Callithrix jacchus: one gene and its partners. Each later gene encodes a partner of the first gene's protein in a complex. Links are inferred from orthologs where the notes say so. Each region holds a gene or a part of one and is shown in the gene's direction. Other genes may lie near its edges. The genes, in order: SMARCD1, DPF1, ARID2, ACTL6B, DPF3, PHF10 and PBRM1.

Region 1 (4,237 bases):
ACAGCAGGCAGGGCTCCGGGTGACGCATGCCTCTGGTCTAATAAACTGGGTTTCAACCATCTCCTCTTCAGTGTTGTTCTCTTATTTGAAAAGTATTTAGGTATTCTCACTAAGTGCCTAGAGCTGAGCTTGGTTTGGGGCCAATTAGGGGATGAGTAAGGAGAAAGTTTGAGTAGGGAGAGCGTGGTCCTTCTGGAATGGGACAGGCTGACCGTCATACCCAGGATAGGTTTGAATCACTGGGCAGGGAAAGAGGGAGGAGTCAAAGGCAAGAAAGGTCCAAAACAATCCCCAGCACCACAAAGGATGCTTTAGCGAGAGAGCAGGGTCAAAATTCAAGATAAACTGGAATTTATTATAAAATCTGGAAGCAGGCTGGCACACTGGTTCATACCTGTAATCCCTGCCCTTTGGGAGGATGAGGTGGGAGATCACTTGAGGTCAGGAGTTCGAGACCAGCCTGCAAAACATAGGGAAACTATTTTTTGATATTCAAAAAAACAATCTGAGACCAAGCACAATAACTCACACCTGTAATCCCAGGATCTGGAGAGGCTGAGGCAAGTGGATCATTTGAGCATAGGAGTTCGAGACCAACCTGGACAACATGGAGAAACCCCATCTCTACCAAAATACAAAACAGCCTGGCATGGTGGTCCCAGCTAGCTACTCCGGAGGCTGAGGTGGGAGGATCACTTGAGCCCGTGAGGCGGAGGCTGCAGTGAGCTGAGATCGCACTACTGCACTCCAGCTCGGGCAACAGAGACATCATCTAAAAATAATAAAATAATCTGGAAGCAGGTTAGGCCAGAGACAAAGTTAGGTTGAAGTTCCCACATGAGGTAGTTATTGAGGCAGTTTATCTGTGGAATGAGTCCCCGGCTATGAGCAAGGAGATCTGGAATCTTGGCTTAGGCTTTACCGCTAACTTGCTGGTTGACCTTTGCCAAGTCATTCACCTTCTGTGAATTCAGCTTTCCCATTTGTAAAATGGAATAAACTGTGCGTTTCCCTCCTCAGCCCCTGACAGTTATAGCAGTAAGAAAATGAAACGAAAGCAATCAAAGCGTTTTGGAAAGTTAATGCCATGCGTCAAAATAGCTATTACTCCAAGCCCCTCTTCATCAGAGGGCTAGAGTCAGGGCAGGGTTGAGACGGGCTGAGGCTGTGGTCCCCCTTTCCATGTCCTTGTCTTCCTCCCGTCGGCTTGGGGGCGCCCGCTCACGGGGCTTTTCTATCCCAGAGCTCTTCTCTATGGTTTTCCCTCCCGGACCGTGAAGGCGGGAGGGCGTGGCCAGCACGCCTTTTCCGCTAGTCGCCCCCTCTAGCCCACAGTCTCGCTGCCCTGAGCCTCCCGTGCCGGCCGGCCGGCCGGGGGAACAGGCGGGAGCTCGGGGGGCGCGCGGGGGGCGGGGGGAGTTCCGGTTCCGGTTCTTTGTGCAGCTGCATCGGCGGCTCCGGGAAGATGGCGGCCCGGGCGGGTTTCCAGTCTGTGGCTCCCAGCGGCGGCGCCGGAGCCTCAGGAGGGGCGGGCGCGGCTGCTGCCTTGGGCCCGGGCGGAACTCCGGGGCCTCCAGTGCGAATGGGCCCGGCTCCGGGTCAAGGGCTGTACCGCTCCCCGATGCCTGGAGCGGCCTATCCGGTGAGTGGGGCAGGAGGAGGGGCGCGCGGGCCGGGGGCGGGGCCGAGCGGTACCTGGGAGTGACAGGGGTCGGGGGAGAAGTAGGAGGGACTCCCTTGGGAGGGGTTCGGGCTCTGAGTGGGGGTTGAAGGAGGCAGTTAGCGTCCCCACCTGCTCCTAGGGGCATTGTTTCCCTGGGGAGTCGGTGGAGAACCAGGGTGGGTGGAGTGGGTCCGGGATACCTTTACGAGGGCCGGAGTGCAAAGGGGCTTGAGCAGCTCCATCCAGTGATCAGAGGAACACAGATGTAGCTGGCAAATTGAGGTCAGCTTCTAAAGAGATAGTAGCTAGCAGAGTAAATGTGGAATTCGAGATGTCCGATGTGCCCCATCCAAAATAGACTGAGGAGAATTTCAATATAATCGGACTCTCTCTTAGCTTTTGGATCCTGTTTTTCTATGGAGTCACTACTGGAGCAAAGGGTTCTCCTCTCATTGTCCTCCATTCCATCCCTAAACCTTACTTCATTCAAATAATTCAGGCATCCCCTTCTTTTTTTCTTGGTGGGGTTTAGCAGGTAAAACAGTGACTTCTCTGGGTCCTTTCCCCTCTGTAGAGACCAGGTATGCTGCCAGGCAGCCGAATGACACCTCAGGGACCTTCCATGGGACCTCCTGGCTATGGGGGGAACCCTTCAGTCCGACCTGGCCTGGCCCAGTCAGGGATGGACCAGTCCCGCAAGAGACCTGCCCCTCAGCAGATCCAGCAGGTCCAGCAGCAGGCGGTCCAAAATCGAAACCACAAGTAAGATGATCCTAGGGCAGAGGGAGGGAGGGAGGAGGCCTGGGAGGACACGGGTGGTGGGAGTACCTGAACCAAGAAGCGGTGGTGCTTTGTCAGCAGATGGCCCTACAGGACTGATTCTCGAGAATGCTTGGTGGTGGTGGTGGTGGTTCTTTGATTTGAGAAAAGCTTTGCAGTCCCTTCGCATTACTATAAATGGACATGCTGACAGCTTATTTTCACATTCTGACTAGTTCTGTCTCAACCTGATAATGGTATATATTCCCAACAGTGCAAAGAAAAAGAAGATGGCTGACAAAATTCTACCTCAAAGGGTGAGTCCAGGCTATAGGTCTTCTGGAAAGTGTGGTGAGTTTGAGTATAGAGATGATCATCCTAGATCTCATTAATTTTTCTGTTCCTAAGATTCGTGAACTGGTACCAGAATCCCAGGCCTACATGGATCTCTTGGCTTTTGAAAGGAAACTGGACCAGACTATCATGAGGAAACGGCTAGATATCCAAGAGGCCTTGAAACGTCCTATCAAGGTAACACCGGAAGGCACTAGGCAGAGAGCCAAAGGAGAGGACCCAGGAACCTCCAGCAGACTTAGCATGAGAAATCAAAGGCACAGCACAACTCTCCTTGGCATTTAAATTGCATCTCTCCCTTCCGCCTACAAACTGAGAATTACATTAGGAGGATAAGAACAGAATGGCAAAGGGGGAGGGGCTCTTGATGTCTCTTGCACTAGAAATATACCCTTGTCCATGTTTTTGCTATAACTGCTCTGCTACCTTGGGAACCTGGCACCTAGCATGACTTTGTCCACCTGGCATCCCACTTAATACAGTTGTGCTTAGGCTGATGGCCAGTACTCCTCTTCTAAATGGAATCTTTATCCATCCATCCAAGGGACTGGGTAGATAGTAAGGCAGTCTGTTAGGAGTAATTTTGGGGTTTGGGGAGACCCTTGTCTTCAACATCAGACCACTGAAGCCCCACGATCAATCCTGTTTCTGCCTTCCTCAGCAAAAACGGAAGCTGCGAATTTTCATTTCTAACACTTTCAATCCGGCTAAGTCAGATGCCGAGGATGGGGAAGGGACGGTGGCTTCCTGGGAGCTTCGGGTAGAAGGACGGCTCCTGGAGGATGTGAGTTCAAGGTCCATCACGGTTGGCATCTAGGGTGGGAGCTGCTGGGAATGAACAGTGTTGTCAGCAGGAAGCCTAACTGGTGCTCACAGCTCCTTTTGGGAGCAGTAGGCAGAGGGATGCTCTGTTCCCTGCACAAAAGACAATAGTCCTTTGTGTTTTGCCCCCACACCTTTGGCCCTCACTGGTATCATTTGGAGAACCTTATTGTCCTGGGATCTGACTTGTTGTTTACATTCCTCTTGGTGCTGCTGGCTGTTGGATTTAGCCATCTTTGTAGATTATTTAGGTTTTTTTTGTTTTTTATTTTTAATCAAGTGAGTTTGCACTCAATTTGAGGCCATGTTTCCTCTCTGAGTCCTTGTGGTATCTCCATCTTCCCAGCTTTCATTGGAGACACCCTGCAGTTTAAGTGGGATAGATTTCTCTGACAGGCTCTTTGTTGCTTCCTGGGGAGCATCAGCTGACAGGTGATAGCCCCCAAACTTCCCACCCCAGAAGCTCCTTGGGGAAGCTCACCTTTCTGTCATTCCCTTACATTCTCTGGCTCTATTTTTAGCTGCTCACAGGCAAGCTAATTGGAATGCACTTTTGCAGGAGAACCAGGGCTCAGTGTCAGAGCCTCCTTCTGTATATAGGTCTGGTCCATCTGCTGGTGGTGTCATTCTGTCCAAATA
Region 2 (4,463 bases), on another chromosome or scaffold:
AGCAGAGATAAGGTTTCGCCATGTTGGCCAGGCTGGTCTCGACCTCCTGACTTCAGGTGATCTGCCCGCCTCGGCCTCCCAAAGTGCTGGGATTACAGGTGTGAGCCATCGTGCCAGGCCAGAAACCGCTTCCTTACTCCTTCAAATCAATCTGCTTTTTTTTACTTGCTTCTTTTTTCTTTCTAAAATCTGTGTTTTGCTGAATCTATTTTCTTTTCTTCTTTCTTTTTCTTTTCTTTCTTTCTTTTTTATTTTTAGAAACAGTCTCTCTCTGTTGTCTAGGTGGAGTACAGTGGTGTGATCACAGCTCACTACTGCCTCCAACTTTCAGGCTCAAATGACCTTTTTGCCTCAGTCTCCTGAGTAGCTGAGACTGCAGACATGCATCACCACACCTAGATAATTTTTAAACTTTTTGTAGAGATGGGGTCTCATTATGTTGCCCAGGCTGGTCTCGTGCTCTGGGGCTCAAGCAATCCTCCTGCCTTAGCCTCCCAAAGTGCTGAGATTACAGGTGTGAGCCACTGTGCCCTGCCTCTTCTCTTCTCTTGTTTTTTTTTCCTCTCTCTCTCCCTCTCCCTTCTTTTTTGAGACAAGGTCTCACTCTGTCATCCAGACTGAAGTGCGGTGGCACAATCTTGGCTCACTGCAACCTCTGCCTCCCAGGCTCAAGTGACCCTCCCACCTCAGCCTCCTGAGTATCTGGGACTACAGGCATGCACCACCACACCCGCCTAATTTTTGGTATTTTTGGTAGAGATGAGGTTTCGCCATGTTGCCCAGACTGGTCTTGAGCTCCAGAGTTCAGATGATCCACCTGCCTCGGCCTCCCAAAGTGATGGGATTACAGGCATGGGCCACCATGCCCGGCCCAATTTTCTTTTCATAGCATCTCTCACTGTCTGAAATGATTTTATCTCTTTATTTTCTTATTATCTGTATTTCTCCACTAGAACGTCAGCTCCTTGAGAGCAGCAACTTTGTTTTGGTCATTGCTGTATCCTTAGTGCCTAGAAGAGTTTCTGGAACATAGCAGCCACTCAGTAAACGAACAAAGGCGTGATTAACCCCTGTGCTTGTTCACAGGCTCGCTGATATAGAAGAGAAACCCAAATAGGCCCAGACAAAAATACACGATAAAAACCCTAGGGTCATCCACATACCCTGGGGACATCCAGAAGCTAGGGACCACCTGCTCCCGCGCTCGCGGTGCCTCGAGGGTGGAGATCCCGAGCTGGGGACGGAGCACTCCCAGGGAGAGAGGAAAGATGCTCTGGGGGCAGCCCCGCCCCTCCCTGTATCCCCAGCAGCCAATGGGAGCGCGGTCCTCCTGACGCCCCCTGGGACGTGTAGTCTGGGCAGGGGCGCCCTCGGGCGCCGCCGAGCGCCCCTAGACTCCACGTCCCGTCGTGCGCTGGGAGGCGCGGGGATTGGCTGAGCCCCGCCCCCGGCCCGCCCCGCTCCGCTCGCGCCGCAGCCCCAAGAATGAATGAAATCGTAGCGCGCTGGGCGGCAGAGCGGGCGGCGCAGGCCGGGCTGGGCCCGCGCGCGGCGGCAGCGGCGCCCCGGGCCGGAGGCGGCCCAGCCGAGCGGGCCATGGCTACCGCCATTCAGAACCCGCTCAAGTCGTGAGTGTCCCCGCCGTCCCCGCCCCCTGTCCAGACCCCCCCACCAGGAGCCCTTCCCCCGCCCGCCCTGTGGCTGAGGAGGGGGACGCAGCGCGCGGACCCGTAGTTGAGTGGGGGCCCCCAGCGCAAACCGTTGCCCCGGGGGTCGGCCACCCCCTGTCGCCCCCTGGGGTTGGAGGCGGGAGCCTCTTCAGGGTCGCGGGGGCGCCTCTTCTTTGTCGCTGTCAGTGAAGGAATGTGGCGCGGGCTGGGGGTGGCGGAGGCCGTTTCCCCACCCAGAGTGGGGGTAGGGGTTTCCCTCTCCTCCATCTCTCCCTCAGGATCTCCGGAGGTGCCGGGCCTGCCCCGGCCGGGGCTGGAAGCTCGAACACCTGAGTCCGGACCTCGGTCCCCAGGGTTTCCATCACCCGCTCTCCCCTCATCAAAGCGCCTTTCTCTCTTTCCCCTTCTTTCTCTGGGGACCCCGGACCTCGCGGCCGCAGGGTGGGAGCTGAGACGTCGGGGGTCCACGGTTCCATCCCCGCTGCCTCCCTTTTTTCCTTCTGGGATCTCCGGGAACTAGAACCCCGAACCCACGGCCAGCATGGACCGCGGCATCCCTTCCTCTCCCCGCCCATACACATCAAACCGGAGCATCTCTGGTCCCCTCCGGGACCGGCCCGGGAAGGGGGTGCCTGCCGGGAGCGCCCTCGGTCTCCGGGGATTCCCTCCCTTTCTTCCTGGCCGCGGCCCTCCGAGCGTTCGCATTCCTCCCGGGCCCGGTGGCTGGGGACCGGGACGCCTGGGTCCGAGCCTAGACCCTCCTGACCCTCCCCTCTCCCTGCCATCCCTCGCGCTCTCCACCCCTCCCCTTCCCCCTCTCCATCTCGGGCTTGCTTCCTCTTCGGGATCCCGGACTCCTGGGTCCCAGAGCTCCCCACCCCCACCCCTAGTTCCTAGGCGGTGACAGCGGTCTCCCAGTGACAGGCGCTTGGCTGCTCCCGCCCTCCCTCCCCGCAGGCGAGCGCAGCGCTCCCCTCCCCCTCCTCCTGGGCCTGGTGGAGGAGGCGGAGGGCGAGCGCCCGCGGCGGCGCCGCACAAAGGGGCCGGGGCGACCTCCCCACCCTTCCCCCAACCCCGCTCGCTGGCTGCCTTGACCTTGAACATCGAGGGCTGGGGGCGGGGCGAGTGGGGACAGGGAGAGAGGGAGCGCACCCCCCACCCCACCCACAAGAAGGGCTGCGCCTGCCGGCTGGACCAGAGGCCGCCAGTTGCTTCTGGTTTCTGGCGGGAATGGGGGTGGGAGGTGGAGGGTGGGAGTTGGGAGAGGAAGGGGGGCAGGGACTTAGAGGCACGCGCCTACACGTGTGGCTCCGCCGTTAGCAGGGTGCCGGGAGCGAGTGTGTGGGACTCGGGTCCGTGAGAGGTGGTGCATGATGCTGACACCCCTCCGCTGCCCTCTCACCCTGAGTGGCACACACAGTTGTCTCTCATGTGAGGGACACTGCACAATGGTTGTGAGCAGGGTGCCGGGAGCGAGAGCTCCTGTGCAGGTTGGTGGATCTACCCCGCACTCTGACCCTGGCCCAGACACTCCCCCCCCCCCCCCAGGAGGTGTGCTGCATTGGAGAGCAGGGACCTGGGGAGAAAGCCTGGACTGAGAGGGCCCTGCCCCCTGTGCCCTCCCCTTCCAAAACGTATCTGCTGGGGTGAAGGTGGGGAACTCCCTGACTCCTGAAAGAATGTGAATCACATCCCTTGGGGAGAAGGAGCTGGAGGGTGCCGCCCTGGGAAGTTCCACTGCCTGAGTTCTAAAACCAGCTTGAGCCATGAACGTCCCCTGCCGCGAGCCTCAGTTTTGCCATCTGTGTATGGGGCTTTTTTTTTGTTTGTTTTTTTGAGACTGAGTTTCACTCTTGTTGCCCAGACTGGAGTGCAGTGGTGTGATCTTGGCTCACCGCATCCTCCACCTCCTGGATTCAAGCGATTCTCCTACCTCAGCCTTCCCAGTAGCTGGGACTACAGGCGCCAGCTAATTTTTGTATATTTAGTAGAGACGGGGTTTCACCATGTTGGTCAGGACGGTCTTGATCTCTTGACCTCATGATCTGTCGCCTCAGCTTACTAAAGTTTTGGGATTACAGGCGTGAGCCACGCACCTGGAGTATGGGGTCTTCTAACAGCCCTTACCACCCCATACGGCTGTCTCGGGGCTTAAATAAGGCCGTCTTTGTAAAGCGCTTAGCACAGAGCTCTGACCCTGACCAAATGTAGTGATTAGTAGGAGTAGTATCAATATTGATTTATGAAATTGATTTCTACTGTGGGTCAGCTCCACACAGGGCACTGGGGGATGGGAGCAGGAGGATTGTTTGGGCCAGGGAGAGGACTCGGAGGAAGTGTGCAGGAGTGTGGGAGGGGTGTGTGCAGGTGATTAGGCAGAAAGGAAAGAAAGGAGAGCCCGCTCCAAGTGTCAGCCTGGGTCTATGGGTAGAAACGCTGCTGGTGGGCCAGGGACGGTGGCTCACGCCTGTTTTTACAAAAATACAAAAATTAGCCGGGTGTGGTGGCACCTGCCTGTAGTCCCAGCTACTTGGGGGTTTGAGACGGGAGGACCACTTGAGCCCAGGAGGTGGATGCCTCAGTGAGCTGTTAGTGCCACAGCCCTCTAGCCTGGGCCATCAAGTAAGACTCTGTCCAAAAAAAAAAAAAAAAGAGAGAGAGAGAGTGAGAGAGAGAGAGAGAAAGAGGAAAGAAAGGGAGGGAGAGAAAGGAAACTGGAAATTCTGCTGGTAGAGGAGGGCTACACTCAGTGTCTACACTCAGGCTTCTCTTAAATCGACATGAGAGTCTGGG
Region 3 (4,673 bases), about 40 Mb from region 1:
AGTGAGCACCGGAAGCACGCTGCACTATATTACATAATATTGCACCTCCAAAGCAATGTTCCCATTGTAATGACTACCTGAAATAATAATCTATCCAGACCCTTCCTACCCTATGACCTTGGGTTAGGCAGTGACTTTGTTCTTAGTGGCCGTCACTAAGATGGAAATAATAATTGGCTTCACTTACTCTAATCTTAATTAACATTTGCAGCGTAAGAGCCGACTCCAACACCCCCCGTAAATGCAAATTTAGGTGATAGTATTTGTTGAGATGTTTTGACTTTCCCATTTAAGCCAAAGGTTTTTTTTAACCTTCACAAATATTTTAAACGAGGATTACATTTAAGACATTTGAAAGCAAGGAAAAACATTTTATTCGATATTTATTTTAAACGCAGTAATCTTTAGGAGACCTTACTATAAAAATGTAAACGTTAATTATTGTCGAAGTTGGAGATTGCTTGCTAACCAGTTTAGTTTGCATAACTTTGGTAATAGAATAATCCAGTTTGATATGTGAAGCCAACCAGAGGCAAGATGAATTATAAGCATTACTCTTTTTCCACAGAACTAGGACAGACAGTTCACATTATATTTAACGTATAGTTTGCTAAAGATAGCGTGTGGATAATTCATAGAAAATGTGCTAACCAGGCCCCAAAATACTAGCATAAGGCTCATAAAAACCAATTTCTTTAGACTTTACAAAAAGAGAAGGTAACAAATTGACTTTATTCCGATTTGTGAATGTTGCGTAGCGTGAGCTGCCCCGGTAAGCCTCCTTTCCCTCCAGAGCGCCACACCACTTTTGTTGGGCGGGCGGGGACTCCGAGGCGGCCCTTCCGACAGCCGGGCCAGGGACGCGAACATCGCCTCCACCCCTAACCCTGGAACAACCGGTAGTGGCCGTTCCCCCGCGCCGCCCCCCTTTCCGCCGGCTTTGTGTGCGTGTGAAATGTGCGGCACATTGCAGACGAACCCTAAGCTCGGCGAGCCGAGTCTATTGTTCCCCGCGAGGAGCTGCCGGGGCGGTGTGGAGCCAGGCGCAGTGCCGCGGCCGGCCTTTGGGGGTCGCTGTGCGGCACTAGCTGCCCGGCCGTGGCGGCGGCGCTGGCGGCGGCAGAGACCGAGGCTGACGAGGAGGGAAGCAGGCGGGCGGCGGGCGGCGCGCAGCGGCTCAGCTGCCGCCGGTGCTTCTGCCCGGGGACGCCCCGGCCTCAGCGGCCGAGGCCGCGCGTGAATGTGTGCGAGGGCTCCGCGGAGCCTGGGCCGAAATACACGCTGTCACCCCGCTTTCTACAAACCACACAGACCTCCCCCTCCCCACCCCCAGCCCCGCCTGCCCCAGGCCGGCCGCTGTCGCCGCCGCCGCCGAAACTCTAGGGCCTCCGGCCGCCCCGACCCCTCACCGTTGGCTCGCCTTGCCCCTCGCCCGCTCGCGCGCCCCCGGCAGCAGCACCATGTTGAATCGCGTACCCGGGCCAAGCCACCTCAGCCGGCGGCGCTGAGAGGCGGGCGAGAGCCGGGCCGCGGGGAGGGAGGGAGGGAAGGAAGGGGTGGGGGCCGCGCTCGCCCCGCGGCTTCGCGCGGATCCGGCAGTCGCCTGCCCCTCTAGTTTCGCTCCGATTTCTTTAAACTTTTTTAGAAATTCCCCTCCCTCGTTCCCTCCTCTCCCCCTGGCCTCCTGCTCCCTCCTTCCCCTCCTCCTCCTCCTCCTCCCCCTCCCGCCCTCCCTCCCTGCGCCGCCGCCGCCGCCGCCGCCGCCGCCGCCGCCGCCGCCACCGCCGGCCCGTGACTGAGCCCCGCCGCCGCCGGCCGAGGAATGGGCTCCGGGCTCTGGTAGGAAGCGCTGGGAGCGGGGGGCGCTTTTAAAACACCGATCTGGGTTTTTAAAAAACCTCCTTTGAAAAAATAATGGCAAACTCGACGGGGAAGGCGCCTCCGGACGAGCGGAGAAAGGGACTCGCTTTCCTGGACGAGCTGCGGCAGTTCCACCACAGCAGAGGGTGAGAGCAGAACCGGGGGGGCAACGCCGGGGCGAGCCGGGGCGAACGGGGCTCTCCCGCCCGGGCCGGGCGCGGGGTCCCGGCTGACAAGTGCGGGTCTTTCTCTCTCCCGCAGGTCGCCTTTTAAAAAAATCCCTGCGGTGGGTGGGAAGGAGCTGGATCTTCACGGTCTCTACACCAGAGTCACTACTTTAGGCGGATTCGCGAAGGTGAGTGGAAGTTTTAATTTGTATTTCCCTCTCACTGGCCTCCTCCAAAAAGTCTCCTTTGACCCCAGAGTGGGCGCTTGGGGCTGGGGGGGTGGCCCGCGGGGGCAAAAGGCGTTCTTTTCGCTCCCAGCCGGTGGCACGGAGGCGGACGGCGGCGGGGCTGTTTTTGGCCTGGTGGCTCGCGTGCGCGCGGCGGGCGCGGGGCTCCCGCGGGCTGGCGGCCCGGCGCCGGCTAGCGCCCTGCCCGGTGCCCAGTTGGGCCGGCGGGGTCTGAGCGCCGCGGCGGAGAGTGCGGGCGTGCGGGGCGCCAGCCGGAGCCCCGCGCCCGCACCGCCCGCTCGCTTGTTCGCTCGCTCGCTCGTCAGCTCTGCCGCCGCTGCCGCTCTAGCACAGGCTGAGACACAGAGACACACAGACTCAGAGCAGTTTTCGTGCAACTCAAAATTAGCGCGGGCAGGTTTAACATCGATAATCGGCTGCGAAATGATCCTGGCAGCCGGGGGCACAGCCTCGGCCCCGTCGCCCTCGGTTTATACAGCTAACAAAAGAAACCAGGACCTGTCTCCAAATAGCCATCTTAGGCTTCAAGGCTAGGCAGAAGCTGTAGGCCTCAAAGAAGGGCCTATGGAGATGGATAGATCTGGGAGAGGGATCGGAATCGGCCCCGGCCCCGGCCCCCCCAGAACCCGCGGACGTCGCTGTCCGGAACTGTATTGATCCTTTTGAACTTTTTTTTTTTTTTTTTTTAAGTGTAAACGGACCGCGTTGAGATTTAAAAGGGGGCGACAGAGGGACTTGCGATTGGTTATTGTCCCGGCTTCAAAAACAAAACAAACCCACCAATCCCCCCCAAACAAAACAAGTGGTATTAAATACAGGGCTGTCTGGTGAAAACAGTGATTCAAGACGCCCTTGCTTGCTTAGTAACTCTTACCTTACCGATCGATCAGAAACAACCATTGATGCCTTAGGTATCTACAGATCTCTGTAGAATGGGTATTTATTTCAGTTAGGTAAAGGTTTTTTTAGATTGTTCACTTTCAGACAAGTGTGCCTGTGTTTTACCAGGTCTCTGAGAAGAATCAGTGGGGAGAAATTGTTGAAGAGTTCAACTTTCCCAGAAGTTGTTCTAACGCTGCCTTTGCTTTAAAACAGTATTACTTGCGGTGAGTAGTAGTGACTTTTCCATAGTATTTGGAAATAAGGGACTTATGGAGAGATTTGTTTTTGGCAAAAACAAAAGCAAACCTTGCACACCAAACAGTTCTAAGCTCTTGTTCATTTTAGACTAAGACACATTTAATATAAATAAAGTGAGATTGTAGGAAGGTGCAAGTTTTTCTTACCAATTTTAGGATCGTTTACGTTTTTCATACAAAATCATTACAGGTGACACCCCACCCCCCATCTTGGTAAACATTCTTTTGTGACATTGTTATTGATCGCTTGATATCCACTGAATGGAAGAAAGGTGATGCTTAGTAAAAGAGTTAAGATAGTTAATGAAACTGTAATCTTTGGGAAAATTTTTTTTTCTTTGTTTTGGAAACTTCTTTGGTTTAAAAAATTCTGACTTTCAGATTTTATTTTTTAAATGAAACTTCTTGTTTGGAACAGTGACATTGAATAGGTTTTTCAGTAGAATATGAATGCATGGCATAACATGTTGGTGCCTTAGGTGACCAGGATTGTTTTGAGAATTACTTTTTGTTGAATTTCCAGTGACTTAAAAACGTTCAAAATGATTATTATATCTCTAGGAAAATGGGGATGCTATGAAGTGGGATACTATACTTTGGATTTTCTTTCATTCTCCCTCTTTCTTTTTTTTGACTGCTTATTTGACAAAGTTCTTATTCTGTTGGTATGCGATACAGTTTAGATGATATATTTTGTGATTTAGCGTTATTTTTTTGCTTCTAGTTTTTCTTCTAGGAATCCTTTCATATAATTTATCATGAGGCTGTGCATTATTTTTAATGTTTACTTTAGAGGATTCTAAGTTAGTTGGTATTATTTAAAACTAAAATGATATTTTTTGTATTTATTGCTTTTTATAGTGATAATAGAGGCCTTTTGTAATGTGGCTTCTGCATAATTTGAGTTTTGCATTTATTACTGTTTCAGATGCATTCAGTTATCATGTGTTACATTCAACATTCTGAAACAGGAAATGCAATAATTGCACAGGTGTACTTTCTATTGGCTATCTTAGATTGACTTCAGGCTTGAAGCTGGAGTTCACAGAACTTTGTGGAGTAGTTATTGTGTAGTTATTGAGTTACACAGGAAGTCTAGAAAATATTAAATATGGTTCGTTGTCATCTATTGCGTGTGATGGCATTTGTGTCAGAGCACATTTTAAAATAAAGCGCTGAATCAGAAAACAAAATCAACCTCCAGAACTGTTGAGTTAGTAGTGGGATGAGAAACGGAGAGTTTTATATTCATGGTGACA
Region 4 (3,908 bases), on another chromosome or scaffold:
TGCTTAAGCAATCCTTCTACCTCAATTTACAAATTGCTGGAAGTACAGGCATGAGTCACTGTGCCCAGCCCAATATTTACACTCTTATTACTATGTACACCAATCAGGCCAGACACAGGAGACACACGATTATTACTTTTCCTTTCTTGTGCAACTTTTTGTTTTCCTAGAACTGGAAAAAAAACCAAACAAACCTGTATTCACATTTTTTTTCCTTTGAGATAGAGTCTCACACTTGGAAATATCATTTCCAAGATATTCCCTCCACTTTATGTTCCAATCCTTCTACTGAGTTTTTCAGTTCTGTTCATGTAGTTTTAATTCCCACAAGCTCTTTACTTAAAAAAAATTCTTTTTTAATGAGATAGCATCTCACTATGCTGCCTGGGCTAGTTTCAAACTCCTAGGCTCAAGCAATCCTCCCACTTCGGCTTCGCAATGTGCTGGGATTACAGGCACGAGCAATGGTGCTTGGCCTGCGCAAGTGTTTTGAATGCATGTGTGTGTGATTATGAGTGTGAATATATGTGTATGTGCAAGTGTGAGTTTGTGTGTGTATGTATGCGGGTGTATTTGTGTGTCAAAGTGTGTTTGAATGCATGTGTGTGTGACTGAATATATGCATAGTGTGAATGTATGAGTGCGTGTATTTATGTGTGTATCTGTACGAGCATATGTGTGTGTTTGAGCATGTGTGTATGTGTGCGAGTGTTTGAATACATGTGTGTGTGACCGTGAGTGTATGTGTGAGTGCTTAAGTTGCATGTGTGTGCAACCGTGAGTGTATGTGTGTTTGTGTTGCATGTGTGTGGGTCTGTGCCTCTCCCCGAATCCTCCCCTCCTGCACTTTCTCCACAGTGGAACACACGGGCCAAGCGGGAGAAGCTGACAGAGCTGATGTTTGAGCAGTACAACATCCCTGCTTTCTTCTTATGCAAGACGGCCGTGCTCACCGCGTATCCTCTGGGCTGAGCTGCTCTGACTGGGTGGAGGGCCCCGGGTGGGGCCTGTGGTGAGCACAGCTGAGCTCAGCTGGGAGGCCCGGGCCTGGTTCTCTGAAGATCAGTATCCGAATGGGCAGACGCCTCCCTCTGACCCACTAATGTAGAAGGCCCAGTGGGCTGAGCACCTCTGACCCTGGGGTGGCCAGATCAGCTGCCCCTTTCCATTCCCAGGATCAGGGTGAGCAGACAGTGAGCTGGGCCAGGGGCTGGAGCTGGACAGAGGAGGGAGATATGTAGAACGCTGTGGCAGTCCCTTCCCAAGAACCCCTTTAAACACTGGCTTTTTAAAGGATCTGCCTTACACTGAACCCTGTGCTGTGCAATGCAGTGATAGCGACCCCTAATTTCACAGAGTCTGTAAGACACAACCAAAAATACAGGGGCTGGGCACTGTGGCTGGCCAAGCACAGTGGCTCACACCTGTAATCCCAACACTTTGGGAGGCCAAGGTGGGCAGATCACTTGAAGTCAGGAGTTCGAGACTAGTCTGGCCAACATGGCAAAACCCCAACTCTACTAAAAATACAAAAATTAGCCTGGCATGGTGGTACGTGCCTGTAGTCCCAAGTACTTGGGAGGCTGAGGCAGGAGGATCCCTTGAACCCAGAGGTGGAGGTTGCAGGGAGCTGAGATCACGTGATTGCACTTCAGCCTGGGTGACAGCACGAGACTCCGTTTCAAAAAATGTGTATTAGTAAAGAAGTAACTGGGGTCTTAGAGCCTTTCTTCAGGACACGGGTCCTCACCAGGAGGAGAGATTTACAGACTGGAGATGGCAGGGCAGAGAGTGGCCAGAGCAGAGGGAGTCCCAGGCCCCTCACTTGCCGCTGTTGTCTCTTTGACTTACCCATCCAATGCCAGCTTTGCAAATGGGCGCTCCACGGGCCTCGTGCTGGATAGCGGGGCCACCCACACCACGGCCATTCCAGTACACGATGGCTACGTCCTGCAGCAAGGTGGGGCCTCAGCAGGGGGCGGGGACACCCCAGGAGGACCAGGTCCTGACAGTGCCTCCCTTTCCAGGCATCGTCAAGTCCCCTCTGGCAGGGGACTTCATCTCCATGCAGTGCCGGGAGCTGTTCCAGGAGATGGCCATCGACATCATCCCACCTTACATGATCGCAGCCAAGGTGGGGTCTCTGGGGATATGGAGCTGCCACTAGAGCCCTGGCCACTCGCCCCATGGCCTTCAACCCACTGACACATGAGATATCAGAGCAGAGAGCAGCAGACTCCCCAGTAGATCCCGGCTTCAGTTCCTCCTCTTTTTTTTTGAGACAGAGTCTCACTCTGTCACCCAAGCTGGAGTGCAGTGGTGTGATCTTGGTTCACTGCAACTTCCACCTCCCAGGTTCAAGTGATTCTTCTGCCTCAGCCTCCTGAGTAGCTGTGATTACAGGTGCATGCCACCAGGTGCCTGGCTAATTTTTATATTTTTAGTAGGGATGGGGTTTCACCATATTGGCCAGGCTGGTCTTGAATTCCTGACCTTGTGATCTGCCCACCTTGGCCTCCCAAAGTCCTGGTATTACAGGCATGAGCCACTGTGCCCGGCCCCAGTTTCTCCTTTTATAATCAAGGCATCCAAAATCCAGCCAGGCTGAGGGATACACTGAGGTCATGGAACCAGCTGGCAGACAGTGGGATGTGTAAGGGCCAGTGTGATGGTTCTGCCGTCCAATATAGACCCAGGTTCAAGTTCTGCCTCTGCCATCCGAGAGCTGTGGGACCGACCAGTAGTAGGCAGGTGGCTCGTGCCTGTAATCCCAGCACTTTAGGAGGCTGAAGCAGGCAGATCACTTTGAGCTCACTTTGAGATCAGCCTGGGCAACATGGTGAAATCATGTCTCTACTAAAAACACAAAAACTAGCCAAGCATGGTGGTGCATGCCTGTAGTCCCAGCTACTTGGGAGGCTGAGACTGGAGAATCGCCTGAACCCAGGAGGCAGAGGTTGCAGTGAGCCGAGATTGTGCCACTGCACTCCAGCCTGGGTGACAGAGTGAGACCACATTTGAAAAAAAAAGAGCGTGTGAGCAACAGCATGATATTAAAGCTCTCCGGGCCTCAGTTTCGTCTTCTGTAAAGTGGAATGGCAGTAGGCAGTAGCCAGGGTGCTGTGAGTATGAAGTGACACTGCGTGCTCAGCTCTGTCCTGGGCCCTCACACGGAGCGTGGCCCCCTAGGAGGCCATTCTCTTGAGGTTCTGTCTCTGCTGTATTCCCCGTGGTCTTCAGATCAGCTGCACCCACCATGTGAAGGGCACACAGGGAGAGAGGCATACCCCGTTCTCTCCTCTCCATCAGGGAAGGGTGAGAAACCCCTCTCGCGGGCAGCACAGCACAGCCTCTGGTTCCAGTTAGCTACAGAGCCAGGAACAGTGCCAGGAAGGTAGGGGAGGGTGTCCAGGGTGGGCTGGGAAAGGGTGTTCCTATGCTGTGCCTCCACAGGAGCCTGTCCGGGAGGGCGCCCCCCCAAACTGGAAGAAGAAGGAGAAGCTACCCCAGGTCTCCAAGTCCTGGCATAACTACATGTGTAACGTGAGCCTCTGGAAAGGGCCCCCTGAAACCACCCTCCCCTGCCATGAATGGGGGGCGGGCAGAGGCCCTGCATGTGAGGAGGAGTGGGTGGGGGAGGTGTCGCTCAGGAGGAAGCGAGGCCCTCACCACCCCCACTGGAATTTTAGGAGGTGATCCAGGACTTCCAGGCCTCTGTGCTCCAGGTCTCAGACTCCCCCTACGATGAACAGTGAGTGTGGCTCGGGGCTGGGGGGTGGGAGAGAGGGCAGAACCAGGACTCTGGGAGTGGGCTGAGGGCTCTGGTGCTGGCCACCCACTGATCCTTCTTGAGTACCCCAAGCAGAGCCCTGCTCCCTTCTGGGCAGGGTGGCTGCACAAATGCCCAC
Region 5 (3,908 bases), on another chromosome or scaffold:
AACTTGTTTCTCCTTGTATTATCCTTAAATCAAATTGTCCTATAGCTTATGCTGGCTCTGCAATAATGACGTAACTTTTTTGGCATAAACCACAGTGTGCTTGTCTTCATCCTACCTTTCTGACTGTTCCTTCTCAGTATTTTTCTCTGCCTGTCCTGTAAAGTTGGTGTACCCCAAGTGCCCATTCTTGGCCTTCGTCTCAGGAAACTCTTTTGGGTCTCTGATCTTTCAGAGAATTCAATGAAAACTACGGATTTACTTTTTTTTGTAGAAAAACATATATTTCTACCTATGTACAAACGTGTATATTATTTCAAGGGGTTCGTGGACACTCCTCTCTGAAGACAAGTTCAAAGACATTTGCTCTCATACCCTGGGCTTCCTCTCTGAGGACCTTCATTTGCCATCTAATTACAATGACCCCCAAACCCATATCTCATGCCCAGACTTCTCTCCATTGGAGAACGGCCTCCAGGTCATCCCTATGTGTAGGATATGTCTATAACTGAGGTTGCCCTCTCCCTCCCATGAGTCTGCTTTTCCTCCCATGTCCCAATGGGTGGCTGCATCATCTAGCTTGCTGACCAAGCCACGACTCAGAGGGCATCCTTGGCTTCTTCCCTGTCACTCTCCCCATCTAATCAATGATATTTAAATGGGAGCAAGACCCATTTCTTTCTCCCATGCCACAGTCATAATTCAGGCCACCATCATCATGCACCTGGATAGCAATAGCAGCTTCCTAACTGTTGTCCCGGCCTCTTGAATGAACCTCTCCCCTGCTGGGTATCTACTCTTACATAGTAGCTAGTAAGATCTTGCTGAACTGCAATCTGATGATATCACTCCCCTGTGATAACTCTTCAAAAGCTCTCCTGTTGCCCCCCTGACAGGCTTTAGCATGACAAAAAAGCCCTCATTGCTTGCTCCCTGGGGATTCCAACTGCTATATCTCATTTTATCCAGGATTTCTGCACTGGTGGGAGCCAAGGTGAGATTTGATACAAAACTTTATTTTACAAAAGCCTCATAAGCCATCCAAACAGGTTCAGTAATCACCAAATACAACAGGGCTGAAGCCAGAGGGTGGGGCCAGACCACAGTTTCTGAGCAGCTCCTGTATGCAAGGAAGTCACTGCAGTGGAGGCAGTGATGAGGAAAACAAGGTTTTGCCCCGAGGACCTTATCGTCCATAAAGGGAATAAAGGGTGGAAAAAAGAGGCATGCTCCAAATGAACTATTGAAGAAAACAAACATGTAGATGTCTTTTTTTTTTGAGACAGAGTCTCACTCTGTTGCCCAGGCTGGAGTGCAGTGTTGTGATCTAGGTTCACTGAAACCTCTGTCTCCCAGGTTCAAGAGATTCTCCTGCCTCAGCCTCCTGAGTAGCTGGAATTACAGGTGTGCTTCACCACGCCAGGCCAATTGTAATATTAGTAGAGACGGGGTTTCACCATGTTGGCCAGGCTGGTCTCGAACTCCTGATCTCAAGTAATCGACCCACCTCCCTAAGTGCTGGGATTACAGGCGTGAGCCACAGTGAGAGGCCAAGAAAACAAATGTGTATAGATGTCTACCACGTGCCAGGCATGTAACATAAAGCAAAATGCAATTAAATGTCACAGAAAGGGAAAGTACCATGGGGCTGCAAGAGCAAAGAGAGAATTTCCAGTTGAGGTAGATTAGCAAGGTCTTCACGGAAGAGAAGTGCTTGAAGAAGACTTACTTGAAGAGCAGGCAGGGGATGGACATGCAGAGAAGAGGCCAGGGCCTGGAGACCCTCCAGGCAGATGTAGCCACAGGTGCAAAGATATGGCCTGTGTCCTTTGAAGTTAACCCACAACCCTGGGGGTTTCTGCTCTCACCTGGGCTCCAGCCTCCAGACAGTTGAAAGCTTCTGGAAGCCAAGGGATGGCACTACTTGCATGTTTCTACATTCTAATAAAACACTGAAGAGGTTCTGAGGTTTATCCCAGTACAGCCGTTGACCATTTCACAGATGGCCAGAGTGGAGTCCAGAAGAATTCAATTAAGATTTTCAAATATATAGTCGTGGAGGATAGAGACATTTTCTGCCCTTTGGAAGCAGAGCTATTGGCTTTGGAAATTCAGAAGAATAAGTGATCCCTTTAAATTTGGATGTGAGGTGGTAGTCAAGGAAGGCTTCTTGGAAGAGGTATGAGTTGAGCAGAAACCTAAAATGGGGGTAGGATTTATATAGGTTGGAAAGCAGAGGGGGAAACCCCAGGTGTAGGAAAAGCACAGGCGTGTTCAGGGGACAGTGAGGACTCCAAGTGGGGCCTGGAAAGGGGCATCCAGTAAGGCTGATGTGGAAATAAGGCTGATGTGGAAATAAGGCTGATCAGTAAGTGGGGGCCGGACATTGGCCTCAAATAATGGAATCGCTCCTCTGTGCTTGCTCTGTGTTCCACCAGGACCAGCTACTCTTCTGCGATGACTGTGACCGTGGCTATCACATGTACTGTTTAAATCCCCCAGTGGCTGAGCCCCCAGAAGGTAATGACGATGAGGCCAACAGTAATACCAGCAACAATAGTACTCGTAGCACTTACTGAGCCCTCACCATGGCACAGGCCTTGTACTAAAGGCTTTACATGTCCTTGTCTTGTCTCATTTAATCATCACAACCCTACAAGGTAGGTATGACAACTGCCATTTTACAGATGAGGAAACTGAGGCACAGTCCCAGCAGCTGAAATTTCAACTTGAGGGCCAAGGAGGTTTTTCCCGGACATTCAGTGGAGAGGATGGGGAGTGAGCTTCTGGGGGACCTGGTGCAGGCCCGGTGACACTAGTTGGAGCATGACCAGGGAGTGAGTGTCCTGATCAGAGCTGAGCCCATCTCCTCCAAGCACCTGCTTTCTGCTGAGCCACAGACGCTGCCATGTTTTCAGGCCTGAAACTAGGTTTCTGCATGACGAAAGTCCAAAGAAAACAGGGTTTACAAGAAGTTAGGACCACTGGGGTGGGGCCCCAGAGTCAGGAGAGGGGCTGCTACTAAAGCCATCTCATTTCTTGCAGGAAGCTGGAGCTGCCACTTATGCTGGGAACTGCTCAAAGAGAAAGCCTCAGCCTTTGGCTGCCAGGCCTAGGGCCCCAGGTCACAGAATGTGACTTGCTGCTGGAGAGGCTAAAGCAGAGCCCAGTTCAAATCAGAAGGCGCCCTCCTCCCACATGTCCAGACAGACTGACTGTAAGGAAAAGAAATAGTCTCAGAGGGGCACAGACACATGGAACCAAGAGGGTGCGGCGTCTCCCAGCCTCCCCCTATACATGCGGGACTGCGGCCAGCACCTCCTCATCTCCACCGGAAGGAAGCTGCACTCTGGAAGGACACCCCAGACCCAGACCCGTGGAACCCTCTCACTGTCACCCCAGCACTGAGGCCCTCTCCTTTCTTCCCAGTTGAAGGGAAGCCATTTCGTGACGATTCACCCATCACTTGTGTGTAGTGTGGTGTTTTTTATCTGTTGTGTTCCAAGAAGTCTTCGCACAGCCTCCGCCCCCTCCCCCCAGCTTAGGCTCTTCATCCTGAAACTCACCAGCGGAACAAAGGGCTGTGGAGAAGTTATCGTTTATGGCAAGCCTCGCTGGAAACTTCTAGACTCAGAGACTTGAAACCCCTCCTTGTTCCTTGGAGTTGTCTTGGAGACAGAGAGTTGCCTTCTAGAATGCATCAGTGGCATCCACAGCCAGCCCGGTCTCCATCCACTGTGTTAAGTTACTAGATGGGGGTGGAGAGGGAGGGAGAGGCCCAGAGACATGGAGGAAATGTGGCGGAAGTGGTGCCAAGGCCCCGCCATAGCCAGTCAGTATTTGCTATCCATCGGGAGAGACTCTGCAAGAGGCCTGGCTGGTTCCTTGACCTTCAGAGCTGGGCATCCTCT
Region 6 (3,908 bases), on another chromosome or scaffold:
CTTGTATGTCCTCTTTTCACAGGGGCATAAATGCCTAAAGTAGTCAAAATTGTCCTATAAACTGGCGCCTAGTTGAATTGAGAGCTGTAAATGGTCCATACGTTTCCCCCCCCAGCTTGGGTAGGAGAGTTTGCTTTAATCTTAGAGTGATGCAGTAGTTTTATATGTTTACGAAGAGCAGAAAGCATTTTAACCTCAGTTGGTGAGAAAGCAAAAGCAGATTTACATTTACAGGTTAATTGAAAATGTTCTTATTTTGATTGAAGATCAGTTTTAAATTGTATTCCAGGTCTTGCTCATGCCAAACTTTTGGTCCCTTTTAATTGTAATATGAAGTTAATACTTGTATGACTTGTCCTTAGTCTTTCAGTTATTGAGACTTAATTGTTCTTTTATTCTTTCTCTAATTATTATTTTTGAATCTTTTAAATGTGTAGGATGACAATGAAGAGAATTCAAATGATGGGACCCAGCCATCCAAAAGGAGGCGAATGGGCTCAGGAGATAGTTCTAGGAGTTGTGAAACCTCAAGTCAAGATCTCGGGTACTGTCATTTTACTGGTTATTAATATTTTTTGTGATGTTTCTCTTTGCGGTAACATCCTCTTCCCTTTCCCCCAGCTCTGGCAAAGACAATTATTAAAAATTGTAGCATATTTTCTTACTGTTTTATTATGGGCCACCAAAATTGGTCTTGGTACTGAATGTAATTAAAAAACAATTTTTTGATAGTAAAACGCATAATACATAAAATTAATCGTTTTAACAGTTTTTAAGTGTGCAATTCATTGGCATCAGTTATGTTTGCGTTCTTGTGCAGCCATTACCACCATCCATTTCCAAAATTTTTTCACTACCTTATCTGTACTTTATAAGCATTAAGCAATAACTTCCCTTTTTCCCTCTACCCAGCCCCTTGCGACCATCATTCTACTTTCTATTTCCATAAATATGACTACTTAGTTACTTCTTATAAGTGGAACCATAAAATATTTGTCCTTTTTGTGGCTGACTTATTTCTCTTAGAACTTTGAATATCTTCAGAGTTCATCCTTGTAGCATATGTCAGAATTTTGTTCTGTTTTTAAGACTGAATCATATTCCATTTTATGTATATACTGCACTTTGTTTATCCATTTGGATGTTGATGGCATTTGGGTTTCCATCTTCTGGCTAAGGTGAATAATGCTACATACAGTGAGCATTGGTCAGAGTTTGTGTTTTCAGTTTTTTTGGGGATGTGTATGTAGGAGTGGAGTGGCTGGATTACATGGTAATCCTATGTTTAACTTTTTGAGAAACTGCCAAACTGTTTTCCATAGGTGTTGTATCAGTTTACATTCCTACCAGCAATACACAAAGTTTCCAGTTTCTTCATGTTTCTCACCAATTTGTTTTTCATTTTTTAAAATAATAGCTATTCTAAAAGGTGTGGAGGGATATTTTATTGTGATTTTGATTTGCATTTCCATAATGCCTAGTATGTTGAACATCTTTTCGTCTGCTTCTTGACCATTGTATTTCTTCTTTGGAGACATGTCTATTCAAGTTCCTTGTACATTTTTCATTTGGGTTTTTTGTTGTTGTTGTTGTTCAGTGTTTTTTATATATGAATACTTCATCAAAAATATGATTTACACATATTTTCTTTATGGGTTGTCTTTCACTCTCTTGATAGTGTCCCTGTACAAAATTTTTAATTTTGATGAAGCCCAAATTTTTCATCTGTTTTTTCTTTTGTTGCTTGTGCTTTTGGTGTCATGTAAGAATCCATTGCCAAATCCAAGTTTGTGAAGATTTCTATGTTTTCTTCCAAGAGTTTTCTAGTTAGCTCTCATATTTAGGTTGTTGATCCATTTTGAGTTGTGATATGAGGTAAAGGTCCAATTTTATACTTTTGCATGTGGATACCCAGTTTCCCAGCACCATTTTTGAGAACACTGTTCTTTTCAAAGGTTATTTTTTAAACGGATAGATGTATAACATATTGTCACTTTCCCGTGTCTAATTTAGAGGTTGAATTGGCCCAGATCTTGAAATCTGTACTCTGTTATTCAGGATAGAAATCGACTGCAACATCTTGGCACCTTTAAACTAGGTCTATCCTTCGCTTCTGGGTTTGTGGAGTATCTAAGAACAAATAATTATGGTTTATGGCATGATGCATTGAGATACAGGTTTTTAAGAGTTCTGATTTCTTAGCTATTTATGACTCACTGAACAGTAGACAAGAGACAGAAGTAGTTGATTGTTCCTTGGGTGGATGAAATACTGGCTATGCATTTTTAACCTAAGAGAAAGAATTCAGAGCTGATACCATCACCTTGCTTTGCCCTCATAGGTCCTTTAAACTAAAAATGCCTTCGTTCTTAGCAATTGAGATTCTTGGTTCTTCCCGATATATAAAAGAATGTTATCTTCATTGTACCTTTTTGACTTGGTAGACCAGATAATTATTTCTCTTCCTTGTAGCTGTTTTGTAATTTTCTTTGATATACAGGAAGTCAAGTCATAGCACACAAATAATTTAAATACTTAAAATAGTTTTCAAAATATCCTCAATAAAAGTGATTAAAAGTTAATGAAAGCCAAATTTAATGCATAATATATATTTCTGTACTTAGCTTTAGTTACTATCCAGCAGAAAATTTGATAGAGTACAAATGGCCACCTGATGAAACAGGAGAATACTATATGCTTCAAGAACAAGTCAGTGAATATTTGGGTGTGACCTCCTTTAAAAGGAAATATCCAGGTACTAGTTTATATAATTAAAGCTAATTTATAATTAATAGTAATTCTTTATGATACACTGTCAGCTTCTGAATTTTTCTATAGGTTATAATATATTTTATATTCTTGTGCTTTTGTTTTTATTTTTTCTTTCTTTCTTTTTTTTTTTTTAAAGACTAAGGGTCTCATTCTGTCGCCCAGATTGGAATGCAATGGTGCAATCATATCCCACTGCAGCCTTGTACTCCTGGGCTAGCTGTCCCCATGCCTCAGCCGTCCAAGAATCTGGGACTACAGGTGTGCACCACCATGCCTGGCAAATTTTTAAAATTTTTATTTTGTTAGAGATGAAGTCTTGCTATGTTGCCCAGTGTGATCTCAAACTCGTGGCTTCAAGCTATCCTCCTGCCTCAGCCTCCTGAATTGCTAGGATTACAGGTGTGAGCCACCATGCTTGGCTGTTTTAAATTTATTATCATTCAGCATCTCTCTTCATTATTGATATATTCTATGTCTCATAAACTGATTTAAAAGCAAAATGGGAAAGGTGAATTTCCTGGGGAAAATTTTAGAAAAAAATCATTTTATAGACAAGTTTTGGATTTTTACCATTGTCCCTTGATCTAAGGAATAGAATTAGCTATATGAACCATATCTGAATTTGAGAAAGGCTATTCCTTATTAACTAGTCTAGTTATTTATGTTACCTTATTGCTTTGGATTATTCTATTTTCGATTTTATTCTAACTTTTGTATCTTACTGAGTTTTATTTCTTGAATTTTATTTCTTGAGTTTATAGTATTTTTCTGTAGTCCCTTTAACATTTGGAGTATGTAATATGAATACTTTTAAAAATCAAGTTTTTTAAGCTTTTAAAACTTTTACAAATGCATAATGTTTTGCTGTTTTTGATTTTTTTTTTTGGAGATTTAGAGCGACGAGATTTGTCTCACAAGGAGAAACTCTACCTGAGAGAGCTAAATGTCATTACTGAAACTCAGTGCACTCTAGGTAAGAATAGCTTGTAATGTGCATTTTTCAAGCTGAACATTTACAAGATGATATTGCATTAAGTATCTTCTTTCCTAAAATATTTTACAAAGTTAATAAAATAAACTGAACTATTTAAATCTACATTGTTTAATTCATTTTTGATTATTGTTAAAATGCAAAG
Region 7 (3,908 bases), on another chromosome or scaffold:
CAAATGAAAAAACATTCCATGTTCTTGGATATAAAGAATCAATATCCTTAAAATGGCCATCCTGCCCAAAGCAATTTACAGGTTCAGTGCTAATCCTATCAAATTACCAGTAACATTCTTTACAATACTAGAAAAACTATTTTAAAATTTAGATAGCCAGGCCCAGTGGCTCACTCCTGTAATCCCAGTGCTTTAGGAGGCTGAGGCGGGCAGATCACTTGAGATCAGGAGTTCAAGACCAGCCTGGCCATGTCCCTGTCTCTTCTAAATATAAAAAATGAGCTAGGCCTAGTGGCGTGGGCCTGTAGTCGCGGTTATACTTGGGAGGCTGAGCCAGGAGAATCCCTTGAACATGGGAGGTTGCAATGAGCTGAGATGGCACCACTGCACTCCAGGCTGGGTGACAGAGTTAGACTTCATCTACAAAAAGAAAAAAGGCATTTAATGTTGTTTCAGGAAGAATAAATAAATAACATTTAAAATGCTTATTCTTAGCTCTTCCATTTATGGGAAGTTAATCTAAGGAAGTAATCAAAGATTTGGGCAAAGCTTTATCCTCAATAAAAACCCTATGATATTTGCAAATGATAGCTTGTACTGGAACTATTAATAAGTTTTACTTAGCAAAAATAAAAGATACTTTGAAAAGCATTTTCTCTCAGGGCAAGTGTTCATGATATATTAAATACATGTAGTTTATAGTATATTGTAGAATATGTGTATTCTATATTTCTTCAATTCTAAGACTACATTAAATGTGTCATTCATATAATAACTTAGTGAAATGAAACACATTCAGAAGCATTAAAGTGGAGATGAAGTATATCGAGATTATCTCTAGAATTTCTTGACTTCAAATGACATACATACTTCCTTGTGCCTTTAATGTTTTCCAAAATGACCACATGATCATATATTAGTAAGGTGATGTTTTTATTCTGTGCATCCTTTTTATACTTATATATTCAGTTGAATTAATGGTGGCTGTAATTCAAAAATACAATTTTGGGTAGGGGCTATCTGGAATGTGAAGATCATACTATTGCTGATTGCTGCCTTGAATGTTGCAAATGGAATTAAATGTATTATTAGCATGTGTTGTTTGAATCCTACATCTGACTCCAGCATCCCTTTATGGAGTACCTTTTTCATTTATTTATTTATTTATTTATTTATTTACTTACTTACTTACTTACTTACTTATTTACTTATTTATTTACCTAAGAAGCTGAAAAGAGTGAAGATTCCTCTGGTGCTGCAGGCCTCTCAGGCTTACATCGCACATACAGCCAGGACTGTAGCTTTAAGAACAGCATGTACCATGTTGGAGATTATGTCTATGTGGAACCTGCAGAGGCCAACCTACAGCCACATATAGTCTGTATTGAAAGACTCTGGGAGGATTCAGCTGGTAAGGTTGTTTTAAATCAAAGGACAATTTAGTAAGATATGAGTATTTGACTCCTCCTTGCTCCTCAGGGAAGAAAATTTTAACTCAGACATTTTATGCCTTTCCATAGTAATTGTTCAATATATCAATAAATGTAAGTAAGCACCCATCATATGAAAAACATAGGACCTATTGGGCAAGTGTCACTATTGAGTCAAAGAAATACAGCTTCTTAAAGTCTGGTTGAGATTCATTCATTCAATTGATACTTACTGAAAACATATTTTGAGCCAAACTTTAGGTAGAATGACAGAGATTCAGAAGAACAAAAAGCTCATGTTTTTTCCCCTGCAAAACTACTCCAGTAAGGAAGATTATGAATAAAAAAGAAATTATTATAGGATGATGTGCCTTGGCTTAGAATTTGTTTTCAAAAAGGCTTTCCAGAACAGTTGTCTGTAAATTGAAAACTGGAGTATAAATAGAAGTTAATGAAGCCAAAAGCTGGTGGAAATGTGATCCAGGCAGTCCAGTTCTTTGAGCTGCCTATTACATGAAATAGTTTCGTATTCCTTCACCAGAGAGCTAAATATGTCCTTCAGTAGTATATCTATATCCTTACTAAAGTGCACAACTCTAGGTATGTACTAACCAGAGCTGAGTGGAGCAGGTCTCATCACTTGGCCTCCTCATTATATATTTTATGTGACTTTTACTATGAAGAAGAACCTAGGCAATATGGCAAGACCCCTTCTCTACAAAAATTAAGAAAACTAGCAGGGCATGGTGGCATTTGCTTGTGGTCCCAGCAACTTGAGAGGCTGAGGCAGGAAGATCACCTGAGCCCAAGAGGTTAAGGATGCATAATATATATAAGAGAGAGGAGGAAAGTAGCATGCATTTTTTAGGTCTCATTACACTTTATTATTTTAGAGTATTATTTCTTCTATGGATAAGAAACTGTAGCATAAGAAGCACAGTGCTAGATTCAGATCATGGCAGAATGGATTGATGGTGTATTTCCTAATTTTGCAAAGAATATGTGATTTCTGAGCTGGCACAGTGATATATACTTGTAGTCCCAGCTACTCAGGAGGCTGAGGTTGGAGGACCACTTTGGCCCAGGAATTCAAGTTCAGCTTGGGCAACATAGTGAGACCCTGTCTCTTTAAAAAAAAAAAAAAATGATTTCTGTTAACAATGATTCTCTTTCTCTTCCCACTCCTTCACTCCCCATTTTTGAGGTGAAAAATGGTTGTATGGCTGTTGGTTTTACCGACCAAATGAAACATTCCACCTGGCTACACGAAAATTTCTGGAAAAAGAAGTTTTCAAGAGTGACTATTACAACAAAGTTCCCGTTAGTAAAATTCTAGGCAAGTGTGTGGTCATGTTTGTCAAGGTAAGAAACTCATTAAACCCAAAAGTATCACTCATTCCCTAGGAATAAAATTTTAAAACAGAAAATACTGATATTTACAAAATTAGGAATTCTGTTTTAAACTATTTTTTAAGCTGTGTATAGCTATATGTAAAGATTTGGGAAGAAATTAACCTGAACATGGTTATGAAAGATGACTTGCTGCTTACACTATTTGGCTATAATGCAATTAGGTTAAGTTTTTAATATTGCCAGGCTAATTTTTAAGTATGATGTTTTTTGAAAGATAATCATGACAAATTTTCAGTTTGGTTTGTAGCTAATAATGTGTGCTTTTTGTGTATATGTCTGATACAAACACATGATCCCTCTTAAAAACTTTAAGGAACATTATAGCTATATGAGATGTTCATACGTTTTCAAAAAGCAATTGTAAGCTAAATGGAATTATTTGTTTTTATAATTTAAAGAATTTGTATCTAATAAGTCCATTCTGTAGCCAAGGAAATACTTCTAAATCTCTAGTCATCTGTTATTTTTTTTTTGTTAACTGCCAGAAAGTCTGATCAGTTTAGCTTTTGTTTGTGTGGTTGGTTATTTGCTTTTTTCTTTTTTTTTCTCTGATTGGTTTTCAGAAAATCCACCTAACTAGTTTTATTCTTATGTCTCCCCTACCCCCCAGGAATACTTTAAATTATGCCCAGAAAACTTCCGAGATGAAGATGTTTTTGTCTGTGAATCACGGTATTCTGCCAAAACCAAATCTTTTAAGAAAATTAAACTGTGGACCATGCCCATCAGCTCAGTTAGGTTTGTCCCTCGGGATGTGCCTCTGCCTGTGGTTCGTGTGGCCTCTGTATTTGCAAATGCAGATAAAGGTGATGATGAGAAGAATACAGACAACTCAGAGGACAGTCGAGCAGAAGACAATTTTAACTTGGAAAAGGTATGCAGGTGCTCACTTTGGCAGCACATTTACTAAAATTGGAAAAGGTATACAGAAAACAGCCACACAGAAAAAAATTTTACATCTCAAAATATCTATTCCAGAAAATAAATCAATAAAGTATTCAAACTCAGAATTAGAAAGAGTAACAACACAAAATCTTAGCCAAACAAAAAGAAGGAAACCATAAC

The links.
Region 2: SMARCD1 (region 1) and DPF1 share a complex: the UniProt entries of both Homo sapiens proteins name them as parts of the neuron-specific chromatin remodeling complex. The link is inferred for Callithrix jacchus from reciprocal best matches to the Homo sapiens genes SMARCD1 and DPF1.
Region 3: SMARCD1 (region 1) and ARID2 share a complex: the UniProt entries of both Homo sapiens proteins name them as parts of the SWI/SNF-B (PBAF) chromatin remodeling complex. The link is inferred for Callithrix jacchus from reciprocal best matches to the Homo sapiens genes SMARCD1 and ARID2.
Region 4: SMARCD1 (region 1) and ACTL6B share a complex: the UniProt entries of both Homo sapiens proteins name them as parts of the BAF complex. The link is inferred for Callithrix jacchus from reciprocal best matches to the Homo sapiens genes SMARCD1 and ACTL6B.
Region 5: SMARCD1 (region 1) and DPF3 share a complex: the UniProt entries of both Homo sapiens proteins name them as parts of the BAF complex. The link is inferred for Callithrix jacchus from reciprocal best matches to the Homo sapiens genes SMARCD1 and DPF3.
Region 6: SMARCD1 (region 1) and PHF10 share a complex: the UniProt entries of both Homo sapiens proteins name them as parts of the neural progenitors-specific chromatin remodeling complex. The link is inferred for Callithrix jacchus from reciprocal best matches to the Homo sapiens genes SMARCD1 and PHF10.
Region 7: SMARCD1 (region 1) and PBRM1 share a complex: the UniProt entries of both Homo sapiens proteins name them as parts of the SWI/SNF-B (PBAF) chromatin remodeling complex. The link is inferred for Callithrix jacchus from reciprocal best matches to the Homo sapiens genes SMARCD1 and PBRM1.

What each region holds. Positions count from the first base shown.
Region 1 is NC_133510.1:69,497,749-69,501,985, reverse strand, and holds the start of SMARCD1 (SWI/SNF-related matrix-associated actin-dependent regulator of chromatin subfamily D member 1), read left to right. Parts: upstream 1-1,437; 5' UTR 1,438-1,465; coding exon 1,466-1,642; intron 1,643-1,888; exon of another isoform or gene 1,889-1,945; intron 1,946-2,237; coding exon 2,238-2,425; intron 2,426-2,696; coding exon 2,697-2,739; intron 2,740-2,830; coding exon 2,831-2,953; intron 2,954-3,437; coding exon 3,438-3,560; intron 3,561-4,237. UniProt on the Homo sapiens protein: Involved in transcriptional activation and repression of select genes by chromatin remodeling (alteration of DNA-nucleosome topology).
Region 2 is NC_133523.1:33,814,930-33,819,392, reverse strand, and holds the start of DPF1 (zinc finger protein neuro-d4), read left to right. Parts: upstream 1-1,491; 5' UTR 1,492-1,596; coding exon 1,597-1,628; intron 1,629-4,463. UniProt on the Homo sapiens protein: May have an important role in developing neurons by participating in regulation of cell survival, possibly as a neurospecific transcription factor. Belongs to the neuron-specific chromatin remodeling complex (nBAF complex).
Region 3 is NC_133510.1:29,645,138-29,649,810, reverse strand, and holds the start of ARID2 (AT-rich interactive domain-containing protein 2), read left to right. Parts: upstream 1-1,786; 5' UTR 1,787-1,914; coding exon 1,915-2,006; intron 2,007-2,121; coding exon 2,122-2,215; intron 2,216-2,383; exon of another isoform or gene 2,384-3,186; intron 3,187-3,283; coding exon 3,284-3,381; intron 3,382-4,673. UniProt on the Homo sapiens protein: Involved in transcriptional activation and repression of select genes by chromatin remodeling (alteration of DNA-nucleosome topology). Required for the stability of the SWI/SNF chromatin remodeling complex SWI/SNF-B (PBAF).
Region 4 is NC_133503.1:13,075,953-13,079,860, forward strand, and holds part of ACTL6B (actin-like protein 6B), read left to right. Parts: intron 1-858; coding exon 859-956; intron 957-1,865; coding exon 1,866-1,960; intron 1,961-2,027; coding exon 2,028-2,134; intron 2,135-3,453; coding exon 3,454-3,543; intron 3,544-3,689; coding exon 3,690-3,751; intron 3,752-3,887; coding exon 3,888-3,908. UniProt on the Homo sapiens protein: Involved in transcriptional activation and repression of select genes by chromatin remodeling (alteration of DNA-nucleosome topology).
Region 5 is NC_133509.1:107,528,885-107,532,792, reverse strand, and holds part of DPF3 (zinc finger protein DPF3), read left to right. Parts: intron 1-2,435; coding exon 2,436-2,517; intron 2,518-3,042; coding exon 3,043-3,113; 3' UTR 3,114-3,908. UniProt on the Homo sapiens protein: Belongs to the neuron-specific chromatin remodeling complex (nBAF complex).
Region 6 is NC_133505.1:176,375,017-176,378,924, reverse strand, and holds part of PHF10 (PHD finger protein 10), read left to right. Parts: intron 1-437; coding exon 438-544; intron 545-2,624; coding exon 2,625-2,755; intron 2,756-2,908; coding exon of another isoform or gene 2,909-3,030; intron 3,031-3,661; coding exon 3,662-3,745; intron 3,746-3,908. UniProt on the Homo sapiens protein: Involved in transcription activity regulation by chromatin remodeling. Belongs to the neural progenitors-specific chromatin remodeling complex (npBAF complex) and is required for the proliferation of neural progenitors.
Region 7 is NC_133516.1:35,114,880-35,118,787, reverse strand, and holds part of PBRM1 (protein polybromo-1), read left to right. Parts: intron 1-1,225; coding exon 1,226-1,411; intron 1,412-2,634; coding exon 2,635-2,792; intron 2,793-3,453; coding exon 3,454-3,717; intron 3,718-3,908. UniProt on the Homo sapiens protein: Involved in transcriptional activation and repression of select genes by chromatin remodeling (alteration of DNA-nucleosome topology). Required for the stability of the SWI/SNF chromatin remodeling complex SWI/SNF-B (PBAF).